2 linked regions of the Rhinolophus ferrumequinum genome follow. The protein of the gene in region 1 interacts with the protein of each later gene in a pairwise test. Links are inferred from orthologs where the notes say so. Each region holds a gene or a part of one and is shown on either strand. Other genes may lie near its edges.

Region 1 (7,733 bases):
GTTCCCGGCCAGCCCTTCCAGGGGCCAGGCCACCAGGAGGCAGTGTTCGGCGTCGCCGGGGACTGCCAGCAGCACAGCGATGGTGAGCTCCAGGTGCTCGTGCTGCACCTCGAGTAGCAGCTCCTCCGAGGCCACACTGGGCAGGATCAGGCACCCGAGCAGGCTGCCAATCGCTGGCCAGTTGACGGAGGCCGTCAGTGCCTTGCGGAGCAGCCCCAGCAGGACGCGGGAAGAGAGGTAGCCGCCCACCAGGAAGCGGTCCCAGGGGCTGCTTCCCCGGGGGCGGAACTCAAGCTGTGTCCTGCGCACAGCCCAGCAGCGAGGGTCCCTGGCCACAGTGTCCACGCCTGGCACCAGGCTCCACAGGCCCGGCTCCAGCATCAGGGGTGCCAGGAGGCGCACATGGTCGGAGCAAGCCCCCACCTGCAGGCCATCATAGAGCGGCCCCCCGGGGACAAGCGCCCCAAAGGGCAGTTCAGGGAACTTGCTCTGCAAGTAGGCCTGGAGCTCCAGGGCAATGTCGCCGGCCAACTGTTTGGCCAGAGCCACGTGGGACATTGCGGTGGTCACGTGGTCCCGCTCGAACAGCAGCAGCTTCTCCTGGAACGTCAGGCACAGCGGTGCTGGGAGGCCACGCTGAGGCGGCGGCGGCGGCGGGTTAGCGTCTGCGGGCCCTGCAGCAGAGTGAAAGGCCAGAGAGCCGGTCAGCAGGCCCTGGGACAAGCCGAGAACTCCACCCCGGTTACTGACTGTGCCAGCCCTGGGCCTTTTTCCTCACCTGTAAAATGACCCCGAGAAAGGACTTTGGTCCTCACGTACAAAGAGCACTTTGACGACAAATTCCCATTGCCCAGACCCCAACACTCTGGGGCCGAAAAAGCTTCATGCAGAGTGGGGAGACAGGTCCTGAGCCTCAGTTTCCCCATCTGAGGCCCCCCCACTGTCATAAGTCTGCTGCCCTGCTCCGCTACCACCCCCTCCGCCACATGTCCCAGCAGTTGGAGCCTCAGTAGTTGGAGGGCAGAGAAACAGAACCATTAAACATGCAAGGAGCCTGCAGCAGTCAGTCAGTGGCAGGTCCTGGGCTGCATCTCCTGAATGTGACCACCAAAGGGGGACCCACCCCGGTCAGCGGGGAAGGGGTGCCATTCACCGTGGGCAGAGGGCAAGCGGGCGGGGAGCAGCACAGGCTGGCTAAGGGCAGCAGGTGGGGACCGGGACTGTAGGCGTGGAGCGGTCTTGAGCAGGCTCAGTTCCTTCCAACTGTCCTCCAGGCATGTGCTGTCCCCCTTGGTGTCATCTTCATCCCGAGGGCTGGTGGCCCTGTCAATCAGCTGCGGGCAGAGTGACAGAGATCAGAGCGTCCAAATCCTGGGCAGCCACGGCAAAGCCCAGGGGCAAAGCAAAGCAGGCTGCTGGGTAGAGAAGCAGGTGCCAGTCCTGGGCAGGCCCCGGCCCTGGCATCCTCCCCTGTGAGCCCCAGGCCTTACCCGCTTCACAGCCAGGGTGGCAATACCCAGCACGGCAGCCCCGCCCACGCCCAGCACCAGGCGGGCATTGGCCAGGAGGAAGTCCACAGCATTGCCCAGCACGTCGTCGTCATGCCGCTTCCCCCGCTTCTGGAAGAACAGTACCATGTCTGTCTGCCTGTAAGAGAGCCAGGGTGCAGGGACCACTGAGTGTGGGGGCAGCCAGGCTGGCAGTGCGGCAGGTGTGGGTAGGCACTCTGGCTGCCATCACGCTGGGGTCTCTGAGTCAAGCCCACAAGGTGGATTCCCGAGTTTCAGAAGAAAGGGGCCACTCAAGGGGTTTCTTGTGAGGAGATGGGGAACTGCCTGAGCCCCCTTCCCCAAACCTGTCAACAACCCACCCACCCCCTGGACAGGGGGGCTCACACAGAAAGGCCCTGGATAGGTCAGAGAAGGGGGCCCATCTCCCTGACCCTCCCACCCAGGACTCCTGATGTCACCAAAGACTCATGAGGAAGGTCTTACCATCACCCCAATTTTACAGAGAAACGGGCTGCTGAACCATACGTAAGTAGTGGGTTCTTGGATCCACGACCGCCAAGCCTCCAGACTCTTGCCCACCCCCCGAGTCCCATCAGACCCCGTCTGCGGTCAGGTCCTAGAGGCTGCCTCACCCTGCTTCCTCACCCCTGGCACAGCAGGAGGAAACAAGGCCCAGAGAAACCACAACGTGGGGTCCCAGACAGCCTGCCCTGGAGCGCGTCTCAGACCTCAGTGAGGCCAGTCACCCCCAAATCTTGACAAGGTAGCCGCCAGAGGCAGAGCTATCCAGTGAGATGGCCCAGGCTGTGGGGGGAGGAGCGCGCACGAGCTGCCTGTCAATGGACATGTGCTGGTCAAAGCCAAAGGCCCCGCTGCGGGGACAGAGGGCAAAGTAAACACGAAGACTCCAAGCAGAGGACGGGCCCAGGGGCCAGGGACCTCTCTTGGCCTCTTGGGCTTGGGACAATGGGGAGGTGGGGAGCTGCCCTCAGCTGCACGGAGCCCAAAGAACAGAGAAGGTAAGCTGAGCGCCGGAAGCCTCAGCTATCTGCTCACCTGTAAAGTGGCACAGACAGGGTTAGGGAGAGGAGCCCAGAACAGTGGGGCTGGGTGGGTCAGGCACTCGGGAGGCAGAGGCAGAGACCTCTCCCACGGCCCCATCCACCACGCCCCAGCGGCAGGTTCCTCTAGGGGGACTCCTGCCGTCAGGCCCTGGGAGCTGAGAGTGTGTGATCAAGAGGGACGCTCAGGGGACCGACCAGTCAGACACCAGGCAGCACTGGCTCACTGAGGACACCTGAGCAGATGACCCTGAGCTCGGAGCCGGCTAGGGCACCAAGGACTTCCACCCTCCCTGCCTGGGGCTGTGGGCACTTAGGGCTGTTGCCAGGTTACGAGATGCCAGGACAACACCCGCCCCGCCCCCCCATTCGCCCAGACTAAAAATAAAAACCGGCTCCGGGGCCTGGGTTGGTGAAAGGCTGGCAGGGTGCCCACTACAGCACAGCAGTCAGTTCTCTCACAGGTGACCGGTATGGCCACCTGCCTCCAGAGGGACGGGGAAGCCACTTTGCAAACAGTAAAGTGCTTTCAATACCCCACACCTGTCTAAGCTAGGACTCAGCCCAAACCCTGGCAGGGTCGCGCAGGCCCCAACACGCAGCCTGCCCACTCGAGGAAAGGGAGGAGGGCGCGGGGGTTAAAAATAACCTGACTGCGCAGCCTGGCGGGGTAGAGCCCTGGGATGCCGCTTGTCCTCCCCTCCTCCGCCAAACCCAGGACGGGGGCTGAGCGGGCCGCGGAGCAGCCCCTGAAGACCTGTCAAGGCCCGGCTCACAGGGGACCTCACCGAGGCCCTGAGAAACTAAGTGATGTACCCGAAACGGGATTCGAACTCCAGCCTGAGGGCCCAAAGCCATTCCCTCCTTCTCTGGCGGTGACCGCCGGCCGCAGCGGTGGCCCCGCCCCCGACTCTCCACGCCGGGGCTGGGTGACCCGGGCCGCCCCGCTCGGGCCGTACCTGCGTCGCTGCTTCAGCGCACCAACTGTCGGAGGTAGCGGGTCTTCTTGGGCCCCGGACCCCGACCCGCCCGGGAATGGAATGGGAAGGACCTGGGAACCGAACGCTAAGGCTCCGGGGGCGGTCGCTGACCCCGGAACGCAAGCAGACGAGCAGGTCCTAGCCCCAATCGGAGTGCTCAAGGCCCGCTCCCTCGTTCCAAAATACTATGCGGTTCAGCCAATGGTGACCAGGCCACGCCCCCTAACCGCGTTCCGCGCTCTGCGGAGGTGGGACTTTCTGACGCATCCCGGATTTAAAGGCGCAGAGTTGTGTTCCGAGCCTCCCGCCCAGCGGTGTGGTGGCACAGCCGGGGGTTGCGGAATGAGCTGGCTGGCCTTCCGGGCCCCTTGTGACGTGTGTGTGATTGTAATATGAGCTTCTGGTTTGGAGAAAATTATCAGCGCCCCCGTTCCTTCTAGGGGCAGGGCAGACAGTCGGCACTTGGCCCAGAGGCGCGCAGGTCTGACCCTTTAGGTCACTTCTGCGAGAGTGCCTTGGTGGCCTCGTTATTATCTGTTGGCCTGCGGGGCACACAGCGTGACCCAGAACTACCCCTGCCACCAGCTCCGTGTGACCTTGTGCCGGCCACTTCTCCACCCGAGCCTCAGTTTTCTCTCCCGTGAAATGGAAACGCCAGGCCCCCTCCACCCTTGCGAAGGATGGTTGTGCATATGACCTGTGGTTCATTTGTTTATTGGGGAGCGACTATGTGCGGGTCAAGGGGAGCGAGCAAGCAAATGAATGGACGTGAGGGGCTGCTGACTCTAAGCAGAAATAACGCGCCACTTACCGAGTGCTTTCTGTATGCCGTGAGCTGCAGCTGCGTTTGTTCATTTGTTTCTGGCGACAACCTTAGGAAGCACTTCACAGATGAGGAGAAACAGGCCAGGAGGAGGTCTGGGCTTGCCCACAGCTCCGGGACGCTAGGGCCTCTGCGTCCCACTACCGCTGGTAGCCACACAGGGCCCAGGGGGTGAACAGAGACTCCCGGGCCTTCTGCGCCCCCCGACCTGGGTCCAGAACCTCCCCGGCCACAGCCAACTTCAGTTGCGGCTGCAGTGCAGCGGACAGCGCCCGTGACACAGCCCCGGCCCTGGGGCTCACGGACTTAGCCTGGAGGTTATGAAGCCACCTGCGGGGAGCACCGGGACGCCCGGACTCCTCGAGGTCCCTCCAGTACTCGGACAGACAGGGAAACTGAGGCCCGGGGAGGCCTAAAGACGCCAGGGGAGGGGGCCGGGGCTAGAGGGGTGGGGCCTGACTCCGCCTTCCCGCCGGCCCGGGCGGGGGCGAGTTAAAGGGGCGGGGTCGGCGCTGGCCCAGCCCGCGGCTCTCCCAGCCGCCCCCAGCGTCTGGCCCGGCCCGGCAGCAAGAGCAGCGCCATGGAGGCCACTGGAGTGCTGCCGTTCGTGCGCGGTGTGGACCTCAGCGGCAACGACTTCAAGGTGAGGCGACCCGGCGGCGGGCCGGGCCCCGCTCTAGGCCGTCTCTTCCGCTCCAGCCCGCACCGGTCTCTGCTTCCTGTCCCGTCCGCCCCCGGGCCCAGTACCGCTCGGGACTGCGGGCGGGGCCGGGTGGGGCTCTCCCGGGGCTCGGGTTCCCCGCCCGGAACGGATCCCCAAGATCTCCTTTCGGTGCCCTTACGGGAAGACCGAGGCCGGGTCGGGCCGGCGTGGACGCTTGGGTTCGGAGTCACGCTAGGGATGGGCTGAGAGCCCCCACCCCGTGTCATCGTCCTGGCATCTGGGCCCCGCCGGGGCCGGAGAGTGGAGCGGGGTCGTTGAGCTCTGCTCCCACCTCCCCAGCCCCCCTTCCCCGTCCCGCTGAGGTCACACGCCCAAGCCAGGCCCTGACTCACTGTCGCGCTGCAGGTTGTTGGGCTGTCCCCGGGCGGGTCTGGAACTCTTCACGGCCACTGCTTTGTCCCTGCCACCGCCATACCCGTCCTGTGTGGTCTTGGGCAAATCACTTCCTGTCTCACAGCCTCGGTCTTCTCATCCAGTAAAGGGGCTTAAAAGTAGTCCTCTTGGAAGCATGGATTAGTTGGTGTGGAGAGTGTGTCAGACATTTGTGCGAGGCCCTGGGTAGCCGTTGTTTGAGCAGCTTATGGACTGACAAGACCAGGGCCACAAGGAGCCTGAGCCCAGCCTTCCAGCCAGTTAGTGGGCGAGGTGGCTCTAGAGGCAAGGATGAGGTGAGCAGTGCCGGTGACCAGAGGAGTCAGGGCAAGAGTGGAGGTGAGAGCTGCCTGGAGTAGTACCAAGAGGGGCAGCCCCTGCTGCAGGGTGGGTGAGTGGGCAGACTCAGGCCCGAGTCAGTTTAGCGTAAGGGAGCCCAGGCTTCGGCTGGGGTCGTGGGGCCAGGACTGAGGGGAGGCTGGTTCTTCCTGCACTTACCCACATGTGCACACACCTTTGACCCCATGCACCGGTGGCCACACCACTTTCAATGCCTCCATTCGCACTAATCTCACCTGGGGTCTCCTTGTGTCCTCTTCAGACGCGGAGTCTGAGTCACTGGCGGGGAACGTGGCTATAGGGGGAAGGGGACACAGCCAAGGGCACTAAAGGCACATGCTATCCCAGGCTCCCTGCCACAAGGGCTGGGGGTACTGGGGTGGGCATTTGAATGTGGGGAATGAATGGGTAAACAAATGAACAAGGCAGTGCCTGTGCAGGGTGGGGAGCTGGGGCCTTGCACCGGGGGTTGGGCCTTGCCATAAACGGCTTGTATGCTGATGGCAGGGTGGGGGCACAGGTGGGACCTTGGCACAGCCTCAGGGGGTACCCTCACTTCTGGTGGCCCAGGCAGAGCCTGGAATGCTGGGCAAAGGCATGTGAGCCACACAGCTGGACACTGGAGGTGTTACCTGGAACAAGCCAGTTTCATCCCGACCCTCCTGGGACTCAGAATCCAGCAAGAGAGACAGATCTTAGGCCAACAGCCATGCTGATAACTACTTGGTCCTCACAACACTTTTGTCCTCAGAGGGCTTTTATTAGCCCTATTTTATGGATGAGGAAATGGAGGCACAGAGTGGCAAAATGATTTGTCCAGGGTCACACAGCTGGTGAGAGTTGGCTCTGTTGCTCCCCAAAGGCTTCCATGGGCAGTTGGGGACGATAGAGGGTGGTAGAGCAGGGACGTTCCTGTCCCAGACCAGCCTCACCATGGCATACCCCCCAGGGAGGCTACTTCCCTGAGAATGTCAAGGCCATGACCAGTCTGCGATGGCTGAAGCTGAACCGCACTGGCCTCTGCTACCTGCCAGAGGAATTGGCTGCTCTGCAGAAACTGGTAAGGGGCTTTCAGCAGGCAGGGTGGGTCCCTGTGGGTGGGGCTGGGCCAGGTGGGCGGAGCCTGTGCAGAAAGCCGCGGAGGAAGATGCTGATAACCACGAGTAGAGCTGGCAGAGAGGGAGGGAGGCTGCACGGGTGGACTGCGCCATGTGTGGCTGAGGGCCACCCCGGATGGTGCAAGACTGTGGTGGCAGATGGGGCCTCCGCTGAGCCTCTGCTCCCTTGTCCTGGCCCAGGAGCACTTGTCTGTGAGCCACAACCACCTGACCACGCTTCATGGGGAGCTGTCCAGTCTGCCATCGCTTCGGGTGAGTGCTGCTGGAGGCCACCATGCTTGGAGGTGGGGATTCGAGTCCAGCCAGAGGTGTGAGGACAGAGCCAGACCCAAGCTGGACTAGCACCTCTGCCTATCCCTGTGTCAGGCCCAGGGGCCTGTCCCTAAAGGGGAGAGGATATAATGATGCCCTGTGTTAAGTAACCCATGGGGCAAAACGTAAAAAAATCCAAAATCCCACCCTTTTTGGACAACTACAATAACAACAACTAATAGTGGCTAAGCACTGCTCCGACTATTTCCACGTGGGTTTTTTCTTACAATCCTGACTTCTCCCAATTTCACAGATGAGGACACTTGGCCGCAGAGGCAGGTCACTTGCCGGAGGTCACACAGCCACACATTGGCAGAGCTGGTGTAGGATGGGGTTTAGCCGGGAGGGGAGGTAGTCAGGGTGCCTGCTCACCCTTCTGCTTTTCACAGAGCCTCTGACATCCCAGAACACCCGGCTCTCGGCCAGACCCTTCTGGCCTCAGCAAAGGTCGTCCTGTCCATGGCTGGAGCCCTGAGATGTTAAGGGCACAGCC
Region 2 (7,390 bases), on another chromosome or scaffold:
ACAAATCAGCATTTTCTAAAAGAGAATACATAAGGTACAAGAATAAACATCCTGTCAAAACCAGAGATTATAGGGGTGAGCTGTGACTGGTCCGAAAGTGAAACACCACCATGCAGCACTAGCAGAGGACCAACAAACTTCACACGGGACCATGCAGAAGGCAACTGTTAGCGTTTCTGATTAACAGTGTGAGATTAGTTTTCTACTGAGTCAAAAGACAGCTCACCTGCCAGGGCATCAGAGATGGGAGACAAAATAAGAACGGCAAAATCAAAACTTGTACGGGCGCTACTTGATGCCCTCCATTTAGTTTTAAAACAGAATAAAAGCTGAAAATCAAACTGAAATGCACAAAGTGTCCCTACTATTGCTCACATGTACGTTCTTTCATTCCACCAGAGACTGGCCCTTAAATATAATTTCACTGTGCGTTTAAAATAAAAAGGCTAACGATCTAGAAACATGTTGCTAACGCATTTAATTACTTAGAGGACAGAAGAGTTGCTAAAATGACTGTCGCAGAAATGCCCTCGCCAGCCAGAGCCACTGTGGAAGTGCTCTTTCTGCATGTAATGACCTGTCCCCCCAGGACTCCCTCCCGGTGGCTTAGGCCACACAGGGCTGCGACGCCCTGTCCTAGGCAATTCACTCCACCCTCCATCTCCTGCCCCTCACATGGGGACAGCAGCGCCACCAGGAGGCTCAGGACCAAGGCTGCCATGCAGGCAGATGTATGGCGCTGATCATTGCCCCCTAACGGTAAAAATCCATTTTAAAAACAGGAAATTGCTAAGTAATTTTGAAATGGGAGGGCAGAAATGAAGCACAAAACACTTTCAGAAAAGTTCTTTAAGTGAAGAAGTGTGCTGCGATGGCGTCAGTGCCAGACCGCCCTGGGCCGAGGGCCCTTTCTGCTGAGGAGAAATCTTTCTTCCGTTTAGTGCCATGTACATGTACAGGCCTTCCCCTGGCACGAGGGGCAGAAACTCTCCTGGCACACGGAAGATGGGAAATTCCGAATTTGAATCTAAAACCTCCGTCTTGCTTCTGGAACTGAGAGGTCTCTTTCAAACGGCACTTTGTGGCAAAAGAACCAACCAGGCGGTACATTTAATTTGAACGGATATGGATTAGAAAATAATGGGTTTTCCATCAGATAAAATGACTCGAACATCTTAAAGAAATGGAGAATTGGGGAATTCTGGATCTGTTTTGAGTTCCTTGAAAATAAGACGACACCTTTTCCCTTCTTGGGCTCCATGCTGCTGGCTCAGTGTGGGGCCAATAGCTGGTATTCAAAGACCCCACGGGGGTGGGGCGGCAGCACCCATATCTGGGCTCCAGAGCCCGACCAGGCGGCTCAGAGCTGTGCCCAGGAAGCTGTGGGAGAAGACCACACACTCTGGTGGGCTCACCTCCCTCTGGCCCTCAGTCTCCGGGTAAAGACTGGTACGTGGCATGTGTCTTTCAGACAAAGATGTTGTTGGATTTTTAGACAATGGTATTAATTGAAACACCGCTGGTTATTATCTGTCACACAACACGTTAGGATCACACTGCAAGTCTATCCAACCATCTCACCCAGGCACAGGGACCGCCAGACTGCAAGTCAGGCTGCGACTGTCAAAGTAAGGATGGAAAAGGAAAACAACAGAAAAGAGAGTTGCCAAAATCAGTCAAAAAAAACTAAGTAAATCACAGCAAAAACAAAACAGGCAATATTTAAAATCTTAACAAACTCTCACGTGTATTTGCAACAGGAATTACATTAGAACAATAGCCAGCATAAAATCCAATACATTAAATAAAACCTCCATGGCAAATGTTGCTGTAATTCCTAAAATCTGAAGCAGTCTGAGCAATTTTATTTCCTCCTCTACAAAATACTCAACCTTCTCCTGAGCCTACGTATGCGACAGCTTGATTTCTGGGTCTTACCTCGGATTCTGCAAAGTGAGTGTGGCATGTGTAATGTTTTTGGTTGCATACATCTTCCTTCCTCTGGCGTGAAACGGTGAGGACATGACAGCCGTAGGGTCAAGGAACCTCTTTAGCTGACTTTGGAACTTTCTGGCAAAGTCACTGTGGATCTGCCTTTGGCAGCGCAAGGACCATGATAACAGTCACCCAACAGCACACCAGGGTATCACCTTCAGGGTTTATTGTTACAAATGGCCCCATTACAGCACACTGAATGCCTATACGAGAAGTCTAGGAGTGGTTTATGATTTAATTGTCACCGTGATGAAAACAAACCTCCCGCTCTATGGGGTCATTAAGTAAAATGTGGTGGCTGTCTTGAGGCCTCATTATTACCAGCAGTGACACAGACTTGTAACCGCAAGGCAAATTAAACTGGCACGCCCAGATTCATTTACTGACTTACACACAGTTTCTCTACCGCCCTGCTCAAAGCACACAGTTTTTCAAAGATACCTGTTAATATTTTGGGACTGTTTAAGGAGAAACATGTATTTGGGTTTATCAACCATTAAGCTGACACTGACGAAGAGATTTCACCAAGTGGAAGAAAGGAAGATTTCCTGAAGGTGAGCAGGCAGAGACCTTACAGATCCAATCTGCTCCGATTTTCCTCCAGGCAGCCCACGGCAGCTTTTGAGAAGCTACGCAAAACACCGCTGGATGGTAATTATTTTAACTTGCGGTTATTTTCCCTGAGATTCAAATTTGACTGAGGAGTGTGTGAAATAGGACGTGACTGACAGAATGTGCCTTCACACTCTCCTTCCTCACACCTCAGTCAAGGGGTGGCCGTTTTGTGATGTGGACAAATACATAAAGAAACATTACGACTTCCCCTCTTGGGAGAAGTGCATCGCTTATTAATACTCTGTCTACAACAACAAGGAAACAGCCCAGCACTGATTAGATTTTAAACAAGCATTATGTCCGTTAGATATTGACCCCAAGACTCCAGGGACAACGAAGAAGAAGGACGAAGGCAGGGATGAAAGAGCAAAGCACTCGGACCATCAACCGGACCACGCAGGTTACTGACCCTCAGGCTTCCACGACTACCCACTGACATGCGCTCGTCTTCATCAGAAGCCTAGTGAGAGAAAGGATGAAACAAGCGTGACTGTAACACAGAGAGAAACCGACAGCCGTGGGGCCCCGCCCCTCGGGAGCCTCGGAAAAAGTCTCAGTGGACCTGAGCCGAGGTCCTGGCCGAGGAGCTGTGTCTGTGCATCTCTGTTGACGGAGGGTGTTTTTGGATAATACGGCTTTCAATTAATTTCATTCAAGAGCTGATACACACCCTCGATGCACATTACTCTGCAAAGTATTCATGGGTATTTGATAGCAAAAAACCCACGAAAACTATCAGGAATATATTCATACTCCGAAATTTCTCAAACACTCTCTCCCCCCAGCCAAGTTAGATCAAAATGTTAAAAGCTGAGTCCACAGTCTTTGTTTAGGTACTAATGTCAGTTTTAGTTAACGACTTTAATTAACATCACTGAGATATCCATGCATGTATCATATCTCTATTTCAACCACTAAAAATACAACTTAGATTTCGATCAGAATGAACGCGTACTAACCGATGTGTTTCTCCTCGATCTACGGGAGTAGCGCTCACTGTCTTCCTACCAAAGAATGGAGAAAACAGTATGGAAGGTTAGACAAACAAGGGACACGCCTCAGGCAGTCCCGCTGCGTCACGACACAGTAATATTTCAGACATAAATGTCAAACAAGTATTGTCTTTGCCTAAAGCCTTCACTTACATCACTGGGGAGAAATGCTTTCTTCTAAAGGGGGGTATTTAAGCACACAAATAGTTAGCATATTTCATTTTGCCTTTAAAAACAAGTGTGTGTTGGAGGAGAAGCTGAGTCTTAATTTTTTTCTAAGCGCTGTAGTCTGGTCCATTTAAATCTACCCCTTTCGTTTTTCTTACATTCAGAATCTTTTTCTCCTCGTGAATCAGAAGGCCCAATGGGACAGCACGCTCCCCGCTGTATTTTGTGCCTTCTGCGATGCCCCCAGTTTTTCACATCTGGACATCGCTGAGGCTGGGGTACACCTTATAATCAGAGCTGCCTGCAGTTCTAATCAGCAGTTTTTGCTTTTCTCGGTGGTACAGAAAACAATGACGCACCTTTTAACTGCGTCTTAAGAGGCGATAAAAACTACATGTGCCTGTGCCATGTAAGCCGAAAATGATGGTTTACACACAGTGAAAGTTGAGGTTAATCATGGTTTAGGTGGAGAATGTGTGCTCTGTGTATTCTCAGAACTCTTGTCCTTGATATTTTATACAGGTGAGATGTGAGGAGGCCATTTTATATTTCCTGTATAAGGGCTTATTTTATGTATAAGGGGCATTTATTATAATAGGACAGACATTTCCATACTGGCCAGGTTCTCAAATGCTAAAGGTGTGATGGCCAGAGGCCAGTGACAAGGGCAGGAAGAGGCAGAGTGCACTCAGGTGCATGAATTCATGAGAGAGGGGGCGAAGCCAGGTTCTCTGGACCGTGGGCAGCAAGCAGAATGCTGTCCCTTCTGGAGCCTCACGCCACGGGGCACCATCTCCTCCTGGGGGGTCGTGAGGACAGGGTATCATTAGGGATGAGCCAGCTCTCTACTGACTTAGGAAGGCAGAGAAGCTGTCCTGGGAAAATGGTGAGAAGGCGTTTTCTCACCCAAAGACAATGGCTTCTGTGGGCACAGCAGACGGGGGGTGGGGGGTGGGGTGGGGGGGCACCCAAAGGTGAAGGTGGATAAAGGTCAGCAGGAGGGTGACCGGGCAGGTGGCTGTGATCGTAAATGAAGGAAATGGAGTGTGTGACCTCTGGTGAGATGGGCTGGCAACGGTAGTTCTCATGCTGGGGACACACGCTCCCGGCCACGTGTCCCTAGCGGACAGTGCCCTGCCCCAGGAGGTCAGAGACCTCCACAAACAGCCGCCTGGAGACTCCAGGAGTCAGCTTGTACTGAACAGACCAGACCCAACGCCTGGCCAGGGCCGGTCCAACCAGGCCTCACACAGGAAGTAACCAAACAGGCCAGATGCACAAGTCCCGGAAGAAACCTCTCGGGATTAAATTATGGTGCAACAGGAATCTATCTGTGTAATTAAACTGTGTAAGAATCCAATTATAAACCATGGACGTATCTTAAAATCATATTCAAGGCCTACCATCCACTGCTCGATGTCACCCCATTTTGTGTCCAGCCCATAATATTTCTATAGACAGAAGGGAAAGAAAATTAGGCAACAAGTGAAATGTAATAAGAAACTGTTCTGACATGCATTTCCAAGCTCCTGCCCAAGCCACACGGAGAGGGTGACACGGCAAGACAAAGCAGTAGCAACAGCTCGGGCCCTGCAGGGTCAGTGCTGCCCAGGCGGGGGCCTGGGAACACAAACCCTGCCCATCCCGCTGCCCCCTGGGCAAGCCCGGGGAGCCCAGGACAAAGCACTCATGGGCGAGGGGCGGCCTCCGTAGAGACGAGGCATTTACACAGCCCGGCGGCATTTCGAGCCCTCTGCAAAGGAGTTCACGGCTCCAGCAAGCACACGGCAGGAATGGACCCCGTGCAGGGGAAGCACAAGCTGGGAGTCATTCCCGTGTCACTGCAAAAGGAAAGAGAAAACCTAGAGGAAACGGGGAGCAACTGTGATCACCCCTGGATTTCTGGGGCACTTGCTCCCGCTACCTGATATTGGTGCTAAATTTAGGTCCAGGAGACTTGACAAACTTTGGATGTCTTTACAGCCACTAAGGAAAGGGCGACCGAGTGGCCTACACAGAGGTCTTTGAAGGGAAAAAATTACGTTCGTAAGCTACACTCTGCGTTTTTCTCTAGCTAATGCCTCCATGCCTTTGTCTGACTCGTCCGATCCACAATGGTCCAATTCAGAATGAGACGAGCAGATTCAGAACGGCTATTACTGTTACTAAACATAGTTAATTGCAGAGTCAGGTGGGAACCCAGGTACAGCTCAACTAATGGGGTTCGGGCTTTTCACTTACCTCTCAATTTCCAGGAAGAAAATCAAGGAACAACCAACCAAACCTCCACATCACCTAACAGACGTGATTTCCCTCTTTACACAGTAAAACCTTATAATCAAAAGGAAAAAACTGGATGCTAGAAGTCCAAGACAATTTTGGAAATTGTTTTACCACGACCAAAACATGCTGCCGCTATGTTTGGTGTAGTCTCCGTTTATTTTGAAGGGTGGCCAGATTTAAACTCTGGCTCTCTGATGGTCTTGCCCCTTCTCTTAGAGATGGTGTAAGTAGAAAATTGGAAGAAGAAAAGTGAGGACGGAGAGTTTAATAAGGTTTTAAAAATTCAACCAATACAGACCTATAGTATCAAAAGTATAGGAGCCAATATTTTTTCTGAAAGGTCCTTTCCTTAGAATATAAATTGAGAAAGCAAATAAAAGTAAACCCTTCCCAGTCATGTTTTAACGTCAATTTAAGTGAAATGCAACAGCATAAAGCTATTTTGCATTCAATTAATGTTAGCCCCTCTCACTCAAATTCCAGATAGGCAAAATTTGATGCCATCAACCCTCCTTTATCTCATAGCGTAATTACAAAGTTAGAAAGAAAATGTGGTTTATAAACGGACGAGGGCCTATATACCATCACAAAAAACTGCTTAAATTCCAAAGGAAGTCTCCATTATTGGCTTTTCTATTTTCATATTCTCCTTTTTGCCAATCTTATACCGCTATCAAATGCTGCAATTACCCATTGCTCTTTTTGTGATAAAAATAAGAACCAGTATTCAAAATCTTCCACCTAGTTCACGGGTGGCCTTACCGCTAGCTGTTGTAACTCTAGGTACAATTCCATGTTGGTCCACGCAAGTGCAGTTAACCAGCAGTCCTGATATTACCAGCAGGCCAGCACAGCACACTCCAAAAAGCACACAGTATTTCAAAGGTAAACTACTATGATTAGTGGTGAGTCATGCAAGGGGTTTCAGGGGGAGGGGGCAGAGCCAGACTAATGGAAAAGGTACTTGACTTTCAGAAATAGCTTTGATTCAACAGATGAGAAACCAGCACACAAAACAGCCAGTGGGCTAGGAGAGAACATTTACTGCCTCCTTTTCCTTGTCACAAATCTTAGTGACAAGGAAAGGTTTCCCTGACCCTGGACCCATCCTTATTATAAAAATGGGTATCTGCTTTGCCACTGAGGACTAGTTTTACTTTGTGTGCAAGTTACCATTCTGACAGAGTTCTAACAGTTTATCTTTGGTGAGTTAGTGAAAACAAAGTAACAGTAACCTAGTAAGAAATGAATGAGTCAGAGTGGAAATACCCAGACAGAGTCTCTTGTCTAGCATTTGGACAATGATACGCTGCTCTGTCGGTTACAGCAAGGGTTCC

Evidence for each region.
Region 2: the proteins of FLII (region 1) and LRRFIP1 interact in binary tests that used the Homo sapiens proteins (3 or more experiments, as listed by UniProt). The link is inferred for Rhinolophus ferrumequinum from reciprocal best matches to the Homo sapiens genes FLII and LRRFIP1.

Annotation. Positions count from the first base shown.
Region 1 is NC_046304.1:607,180-614,912, forward strand, and holds the start of FLII (protein flightless-1 homolog), read left to right. Parts: upstream 1-4,594; 5' UTR 4,595-4,955; coding exon 4,956-5,018; intron 5,019-6,759; coding exon 6,760-6,870; intron 6,871-7,108; coding exon 7,109-7,180; intron 7,181-7,733. Other genes in the region: MIEF2 (mitochondrial dynamics protein MID49), read right to left, coding at 1-674, 1,154-1,334, 1,491-1,647, 4,364-4,407. UniProt on the Homo sapiens protein: Is a regulator of actin polymerization, required for proper myofibril organization and regulation of the length of sarcomeric thin filaments. It also plays a role in the assembly of cardiomyocyte cell adhesion complexes.
Region 2 is NC_046291.1:2,591,987-2,599,376, forward strand, and holds the start of LRRFIP1 (leucine-rich repeat flightless-interacting protein 1), read right to left. Parts: upstream 3,050-7,390; coding exon 3,020-3,049; intron 1,621-3,019; coding exon 1,582-1,620; intron 1-1,581.